2 linked regions of the Sus scrofa genome follow. The protein of the gene in region 1 purifies or fractionates together with the protein of each later gene. This does not show direct contact. Links are inferred from orthologs where the notes say so. Each region holds a gene or a part of one and is shown in the gene's direction. Other genes may lie near its edges.

The links.
Region 2: the proteins of EIF2AK3 (region 1) and TBL2 purify together in Homo sapiens (affinity purification with western blotting; 3 studies listed by BioGRID). This does not show direct contact. The link is inferred for Sus scrofa from reciprocal best matches to the Homo sapiens genes EIF2AK3 and TBL2.

What each region holds. Positions count from the first base shown.
Region 1 is NC_010445.4:57,422,566-57,426,892, forward strand, and holds the start of EIF2AK3 (eukaryotic translation initiation factor 2-alpha kinase 3), read left to right. Parts: upstream 1-1,328; 5' UTR 1,329-1,649; coding exon 1,650-1,957; intron 1,958-4,327. UniProt on the Homo sapiens protein: Metabolic-stress sensing protein kinase that phosphorylates the alpha subunit of eukaryotic translation initiation factor 2 (EIF2S1/eIF-2-alpha) in response to various stress, such as unfolded protein response (UPR).
Region 2 is NC_010445.4:10,885,890-10,889,695, reverse strand, and holds part of TBL2 (transducin beta-like protein 2), read left to right. Parts: intron 1-300; coding exon 301-452; intron 453-797; coding exon 798-924; intron 925-1,443; coding exon 1,444-1,596; intron 1,597-1,826; coding exon 1,827-2,289; coding exon of another isoform or gene 2,290-2,335; exon of another isoform or gene 2,336-3,806.

The sequences.
Region 1 (4,327 bases):
AGGCAGTAATGAGGGTTATGATTTGGCCTACATGGAATCAGGAAAACCAGCGAAAAGTGTTTTATACAGGAAAGCCTGGTGTACTTGCTTAACTATAGCTGATAAAATGAAGACAAGAGAATTTGTCTTTTGAATTCAGCAGTGGTGGCCTCAGCAAGAGCAGTTTTGGTGGAGTTGTGGGCACAACAGCCTGACTTTAACATGTCTGACAAGGACAGAAGAGGAATGGAAGACAAAGAGTTAGAGATTTATTGTACTGAAGAACAATGGAACGTGCTACGAAGTGGAGTTTTTGCTCATTTTCCTTTTGGGAAGAAGAATTTAAGAGCATGTTTGTATGCCAGCATCTTCAAAAAAAAAAAAAAAAACTTCAGAATTGTGATGGGGCCATTGCCTCCTAGCTCTAGCCTCCCAACTAGTCTCTTCATCTTTGATGCTCTTCTTTTGAAAACTGCTGAGGAATTCATCTTTCTAAACCACAACCCTTATCTCTTCACTCATCTGCTCAAAAGTCTTCAAGGCGTCCTTAACTGCTGGATAAAAAGTTCCGAAGCTTTAGCTGAACATTCAAATCTTCTCCAGTTTGGCCTTTTGCGGTTTTATCTCTTGCTCAGGTACAGAGCAAGGCAGACCAGATCAGAATCTTGGACTAAAGTCATGGTTCTGTAAATAGCTTGCTGTGCATTTAGACAAATGACGTAAGTGCACCGGGGCCGGGCTCCTTCTTTACAATGAGGAAGGGATGTGTCCGGTAGACTAGATCACTGATCACTGTAGGTCACTGGCATCTCTTACAAGCCTTGTTTTCAGCGCTATCGCGAACACAAGCAGGATCCTCTCCCCAACTCGAGTCACCCCTTCTACTTCTAGAAACTACACGTCTCGTGCAGTCACTTATTTTTCTTGCTCTTCTTTTGCCTTTCTAAACAGATCAAGCTTAGCAGAGCCACAGCGTAACTCCTTGAAGGTCGGCCGCCTCCCCGCCACCAGGGACTCGCCTCCCACTCTTCCTTTCACTTGGGACCGTGCTCTCCACAGTCAGAATCCGCCACGTATTAAGTGCCGCTTCCAACCAATCAAGAAGTAGTTAGCTGGACTTTTGAGGGGCATCCGCTTCCACCAATGATCTTCAAGTCTTCTCTAGCGCCTTGCTGTGGGGGGGCGAGGCTAACCACCAAGCTAGCTAATCTGCTTCGGGGAAAGGTATTCTGGGAACTGGGGAACTCACCAATCAGATAAGAAGACTGCAGGGAGTGGCGTTTCTCATTGGTAACTGAGTCCGGAAGAAGGCCGAGCCTCGGGCTAAGGCAGTACAAGTTAATTGGTAGGCGCGATGTTGACAACCTCAGAAAACCCACCTTCTCCAACAGGACTAGCCTGGCTGCCCAGAGTGGCAGTGGCCGCAGCCAATTGGAGAGCAGATGCGCGGAAAGTGTGTTCAATGGGCGATGTCCGAGGGAGGCTGTCAGTCAGGTGGCGGTGGCGGAGGCCGGGCTAAGACGTGGCCGGGAGAACGCAGCTGGCGGTCCAGACCGTCCGGGCGGCGGCAGGGACCTTAGCGCTTCCTCGTCTTGGTCGGGGGCTCCGAGAGACAGCAGAAGCGGGCGTCGGGGCTGCATCTCCATGCCCGCGCGCAGAGCGGGCCGCTGATGGAGCGCGCCACCCGCCCGGGGTCGCTGGCGCGGGCGCTGTTACTGTTGCTGCTGCTACTGGGGCTCTCGACCGGAACGGTGGTCGCGCGGCGCGCCTCGGAGCTCCCGACACCGACCTCGAAGGCGGCGTTCGGCCTGGGGGCCGCGGCCGCTCCCACCTCGGCCGCGCGGGTGCCGGCTTCCGGCGCCGTGACTGCAGCCGAGGTGACAGTGGAGGACGCCGAGGCGCTACCGGCGGCCGCGGGCGAGCAGGAGCCACGGGATCCGGAACCCGACGACGATCCTGACCTTCGGCCGTTCGGCAGGTGAGGGGCACGGGCTGAGCGCCGGGACCGCAGACCCGGGGAGGCGACTTATTTATGCGCGTGCGCCGCGGAGGATTGGGGGGCCGGCTGTCCCCACTCCGCCGGTTCCTCTAGCTAGCTGAGGACAGCTGGTGTCCAGGGGGCGAGCGCGGGAATGCTTTCCCATCTCCTGGACCAGTGGCGGGCATCCCTCCGCTCCCCGGCACCCGATCCTTGCTCGCGGGAGCGAGCAGCATCCTGGAAGGCGCCTGGGGGATGCTCGGAGAAGGGAGCGCGAGGTGGGAAAAAAAACATCGTTTACCTCTTGCATTGTTTTCGAGCTATATTCATACTCCAAGAAACTAACAGCCTCTTTTTTTCTTTCGTGAATTACGTTATGTCTGTGCTTGGGTGACAGCTGTTTGGGGAAAGGACTTCACAAAGAGATTTCAACATTTCCGTTTTAAACACACCCTTGTACTGCCCACGGACCAGGGTTGAGGTCAGAATTTTTCTTAATTGGGATCTGCAGAACGCCTGCATCAGAACCACTTAGGGATGCTGGTTAACTACAGTTTTCTGTGTTCCATCCCAGATTTACTGAATTAGACATTCCCAGGATAAGAACCTGGAATCTGCAAATTTAATACACACTCCGGATAATTCTTGAATACCACTAACTAATGCTTAAGCGCTCTGGTCATGTTCATGAATTTTGACAATTCACATTCTGGAGGCACCACTTGAATGTTTATATATAGATGTTTTTGCACTGGCAGATGTTTGACAAACTTTCCATAGGTTTTGCTAATGAAATAGCTATCCAGGAAGACTGTTTTTGTTTTAAAGAAACTTCTGAAGCACTTGGTCAAAGTGAGTTAAGGTAAAATGAAGCAAGATGTGTCGTTTTTCTTAGACGCCACAACCACTGCAGCAGGTGCTTCTTGGCCCTGAAAAGGGCCCTCAATGCCCTGGGGATACAGAGGTTAGGCGGAGAGTCCCTCCCCCCCAGGGGAGTGTGCAGTCCAGCAGTGAGCATTAAATGAAGAGATCTGTAATGACATTACAGGGCAGAAGCCATACAAATTAAATGCCATCAGTGTCCGAAGGTATATGTGGTGTTCTATGGGTGGGGTACCTGGGTGAGGTAGGAGAGCAGATAAGAAGAGGTTGTGGCAGAATGAGTTGTTTGCTGAAAAGTGGGTAGAATTGTATTGGGCAGATAGTGAACTTGAGGAAACAGCAAGAAACTGGAAAGTATGTTTAGGGAACATGGGGGGTGTGTGTGTGTGTGTAAGATACAGACAGACATGCATGTAGAAGACAAGGCTATAAAACTAGGTTGGGGCCATGTTGTGTATATGCAGCCTTAGGCTTGCTGACATTGTCATCACCTGGGAACCCGTTAGGAATCCAGAATCAGGTACCAGGCAGACCCACTGAATGAGCATCTGTAGTTTAACAAGGTCAGCATGGATTCACCTTACAGTTTGAGAAGCATTGTGTAGAGGACAACAAATGCTAAATTTGAGGGAAGGGTGCCAAAGGAGACTGTTACAGCAGTGCAGTGCAGATGAGAGGTGTCCTGACAAGCGGATAAGGAACACAGCGGGTAAATTTGAGAGACTGGCAGAATCTTGGTTCTTGGTCAATTAATTGATTCCTCCTCCATTGGCACTGCCATCTGAAGGTGGCGGGGGTGGGGGTGGGGTGGCTAGAGAGGTGAGAGCACATGGGGAAACCTGGGGAGATTTAGGGGAGCAGGGAGTAAAAGGCAAGGGCTTCCGTGTCGGCATGGTGTCTCGGAGGCACTGGCAGGCCATCCAGAGGGAGAGGTTAGGTAGGAAAGGAGTGACTTCGGTTGGAGAGACATCAGGGTAAATGGCTGAAACAGGGGAAGAGAAGGCTGGTGATAAAAGCTGCCGGAAATGCCTTATGTTTCAGGGATGATGAGCCAGCAAAGGAGACAGAAAGACAGCTGTCTGGGTTGGAGGTGTGGGGTAAGGCCTGAGAAGATGAGGGATTTGGGATGAACACACATAAAGAATTTAAAGCCCTAGAGGGTTGGAGTTCCTGCTGTGGCGCAAGGGGATCAGTATCTTGAGCGCTGGGATGAGGGTTCTATCCCCCGCCCCGCAGTGGGGTTGAGGATCCGGTGTTGCCACAGCTGCCAGGCAGGTCGCATTAGGCCTTGGATCTGATCCCTGGCCCAAAAACTTGCATATATCCATATACCTCGGGGCAGCAAATAATAATAATGATAATAATAAAATAAAGCACTAGAGGGTTACTCAGATTGCCAGAGGTTCAGCCTCATTTTGTCAACCGCTCACTGTTAAACCCATGGGACCCCTGATCTCCTTTATAGTTTCAGTGGGGAGGGAGCCTATA
Region 2 (3,806 bases), about 47 Mb from region 1:
GAAGCAGAGGGGGAAGATCTGTTCCTACTTGGGAAGTACCAAAGCCTCGCTTCCAGATTAGTCTTAGAAACTCTAATGGTTTTCTAAAACCTAGAGAGATGGTTGAAGGAGCCAGAGATACGAGAGTCTTACCTTGTAAAGAGTTTTAAGTGATTTGGAACCAAGGGGTTAAGTTGTGAGGCTGGACTAAGGTCCTCAAGGGAGATCCTGACTTTGCTCAGAGTCCGCCTAGCACAGGCCTGGCACACACAGGTCTCTGTATCCAAACAAGTGAGAGACTTGTCTGCTCTCTGTCTCTAGAGCTTTCATCGTCTGGCTGGCGAATGGAGACACCCTCCGTGTCTTCAAGATGACTAAGCGAGAGGACGGAGGTTATACTTTCACAGCCACCCCAGAGGACTTTCCTAAAAAGCACAAAGCTTCCATTGTCAACATTGGCATTGCCGACACAGGTGAGAGGCGCTCAGGGGATGGAGCTTGCCCAAGGCAAGAGGAAAGAGACCCAGTTACACTTACTCAATCACTGAATAGTAGCCGAGAGTTTTGCTCAGCCCCAGGGTGACAGAAGGGGCTCTGGCTCTGGGCTCCCCTGGAGTCCTGGGAGTCGCTGCAAGTCCCCCGAGGAGACAGGTAAGAATAGCCGCCCTCCTCAGCCAGATCCTTATCTGTGGCAACCCTTGGCTCAGGAGGGGAGGATGGAAACTTTGGGCCGCAGAGGCCTTCATAAGTGTCTCTTTGGAGAATGACAGTTGATCTGGTCATTGACCTCAGCGCACGTGCCGCCCCTCTCTCCTCAGGGAAGTTCATCATGACTGCTTCCAGTGACACGACCATCCTCATCTGGAATCTGAAAGGTCAGGTGCTGTCCACCATCAACACCAACCAGATGAATAATACGTATGCGGCTATATCCCCCTGTAGCAGGTGAGGAAGGGGGGCCCTTGGCCTCAGGGATGGGCAGAGGTTGGGGCTGGGGGCCAGGGATAGAGCAGGAGGAGGAATTCCTGCTTTGGCACCGTGGGTTAGTGATCCGGCTTGTCTCTGTGGCGTTGCTGGCTCAAGCCCAGCCTAGTGCAGTGGGTTAAGGATCCAGTGTGTGCGTAGGTCGCAGATACCATTCAGATTCTGTCCCTGGCCTGGGAACTTCCTTAGGCTGTGGGTTTGGCCAAAAAAGGGCGGGGGGAAGAGCAAAACCTGTGGAATCAGGAAACCTAGATTCAAGACCTTAGTCTTTTTCTTCATCCATAGTTTTTAAAGAGTTTGGGTGGGCGTACTGTGTATCTTACAGCATGGCCATGAGGAGGAACTGAGGTCACGTATAAAAGTTTAAAGATGGTGTTATTTAGATACAAGATTATTAACTTTTTCAGGAAAAAGTTTTGGTGGCTTTGCAGAAAAAGCTGCCCTTGAAATTGTTTTAAAGGAAACTGGGTTTTTTGGCAGGTTTGTGGCCTCGTGTGGCTTCACCCCAGATGTAAAAGTTTGGGAAGTCTGCTTTGGGAAAAAAGGGGACTTTCAGGAAGTTGTTCGAGCTTTTGAACTGAAGGGCCACTCTGCAGCTGTCCACTTCTTCGCTTTCTCCAATGACTCCCGGAGGTGAGTGAACCCTCTCTGATTTCTTAGCAACGGCTCCCAGCCCCGCTTGACAACCAGGATCCTTGTGCCATTCCCTGCAGCAGCTCTGAAGCAGGTGGGGTGCCTGGCTCTCAGCAGGAAATAGCTAGAGTGGTGGAGCTGGCTTCCTGACGAGTGGATTCCCTAGTGCTGTCCCAGTGGCCTCCCTTCGGGGAGTGTTGGGGCTACAGCTGTGACTTTCTGTGCTGCAGGATGGCCTCTGTCTCCAAGGATGGTACCTGGAAACTGTGGGACACAGATGTGGAGTACAAGAAGCAACAGGACCCCTACTTGCTGAGGACAGGCCGCTTTCAAGAAGCGAGCACCATGCCGTGTCGCCTGGCACTCTCCCCTGACTCCCAAGTCTTGGCCTTGGCCTGTGGCACCAGTATTCATCTGTACAGTACCCGGAGGGGTGAGGAGGAGGAGCGCTTTGAGCAGGTCCATGGAGAGTGTATCACTGACTTGTCCTTTGACATCACTGGCCGGTTTCTGGCCTCCTGCGGGGACCGGGCGGTGCGGCTCTTCCACAACGCCCCTGGCCACCGAGCAGTGGTGGAAGAAATGCAGGGCCTTTTGAAGCGGGCCTCCAATGAGAGCACCCGCCAGAGGCTACAGCAGCAGCTGACGCAGGCCCAGGAGGCCCTGAAGAGCCTGGGTGCCTTGAAGAAATGACTCTGGGGGTACAGCACTGCTGCCGCCACTGCTGCCTCTTCTCCAGGTACACCCCGGCTGGAAACCGTTCAAAAGGAGTGTCCTAATTTTCTTAATGGTGGCTCCTCTCTCTTTTTTCCCATTGAAACTATTCTTGCCTACTTAGATCTCTCTCTCCCTTCTTGCTGGTTGTGACTCTTGGCCTTACTTGACCTCCCAGGCTAATGATCAAGGTGCTTCTCTTTTTCCTGGGCCCAAGGAGTGGAGTCTGTCTTCTCCAGGCACTGAGGAGAGTGGTAATTAGAAGAGAGAGAGAACATGGTCTTTGACCTGTGGCAACACACCCTGCTACCCAAAGAAGCTTGTAATTGTGGGGGAGAACCTCGGGAACGCCGGGGTACCAACCAGCAGTTTTGCAGGGGTAGGAGATGAGAATAGCTTCCAATTCCAGAACTGTGCTATGGCTCAGGGAAAGGCAAAGCTCCTAACTCCATCACACAGTAATTAAGGGATTTCATTTTGTGCCTCAGTTTCTTATTTGTAAAATGGAGAATTATCTCTTGACATCTTTAACAAAGATGTGAGAGTATGAGAGTATAAAATTCCTAGATTTGGAAGAAAAGTGGAAAAGTCATAATACATGTTATCTTTTGTGCAACATGATTTATTGACTACTGGGTAAAAGTGGGACTCAAACAGGGCAGTTTGAAACTACATTAGAAAGAAACATATCCCTTGGGAAGGCCAAGTTTCTGGGACTTGATCGTACATTTCCTGTCTGGTTCTGCTTTAAGTTGTGTGGGGGAATCACAGAATCCCAAGATGGGGCTGGAGTTCCCGTCGTGGCGCAGTGGTTAACGAATCCGACTAGGAACCATGAGGTTGCGGGTTCGGTCCCTGCCCTTGCTCAGTGGGTTGCCGATCCGGCGTTGCCGTGAGCTGTGGTGTAGGTTGCAGACGCGGCTCGGATCCTGCATTGCTGTGGCTCTGGTGTAGGCCGGTGGCTACAGCTCTGATTCGACCCCTAGTTTGGGAATCTCCATATGCTGCGGGAGCGGCCTAAGAAATAGCAAAAAGACAAAAAAAAAAAAAAAAGCCAAGATGGGGCTCTTCTCTTCCAGGAGGGTAGAGCCTGTTTGAGGAGAACCTCTTTTCAGTTCATCAAATATCCGAAGACCTATGCTGTGCCTAGCCCAGCACTGGACACTGGAGATAAATATGAATAAGACATCTTTGCCATCCAGGACGGCTGGCGGGAGGGAGGTACACACGTCTGTGAAGTGCTTTTTGTTAGTTTATTCATAGCTGGCAAAGGCTGTTATCAAAGTCAAGGCAAGAGAGGCTTGACTTAGGACAAGAGGCAATGGATACAAAGTTGAAATCGGAAGGACAGACTTGATAGGAGATATTAGGTATGTAGAAGTTCAAGTTTTTGGACTTTGAGGACTGCTTGGATATGACATGAGGGAAATGAGGAATCTAGGAAGACTTGAGCCTAGGCAAAATTTCTCCATCCAAATAAGTTCTTACTCCCTCTC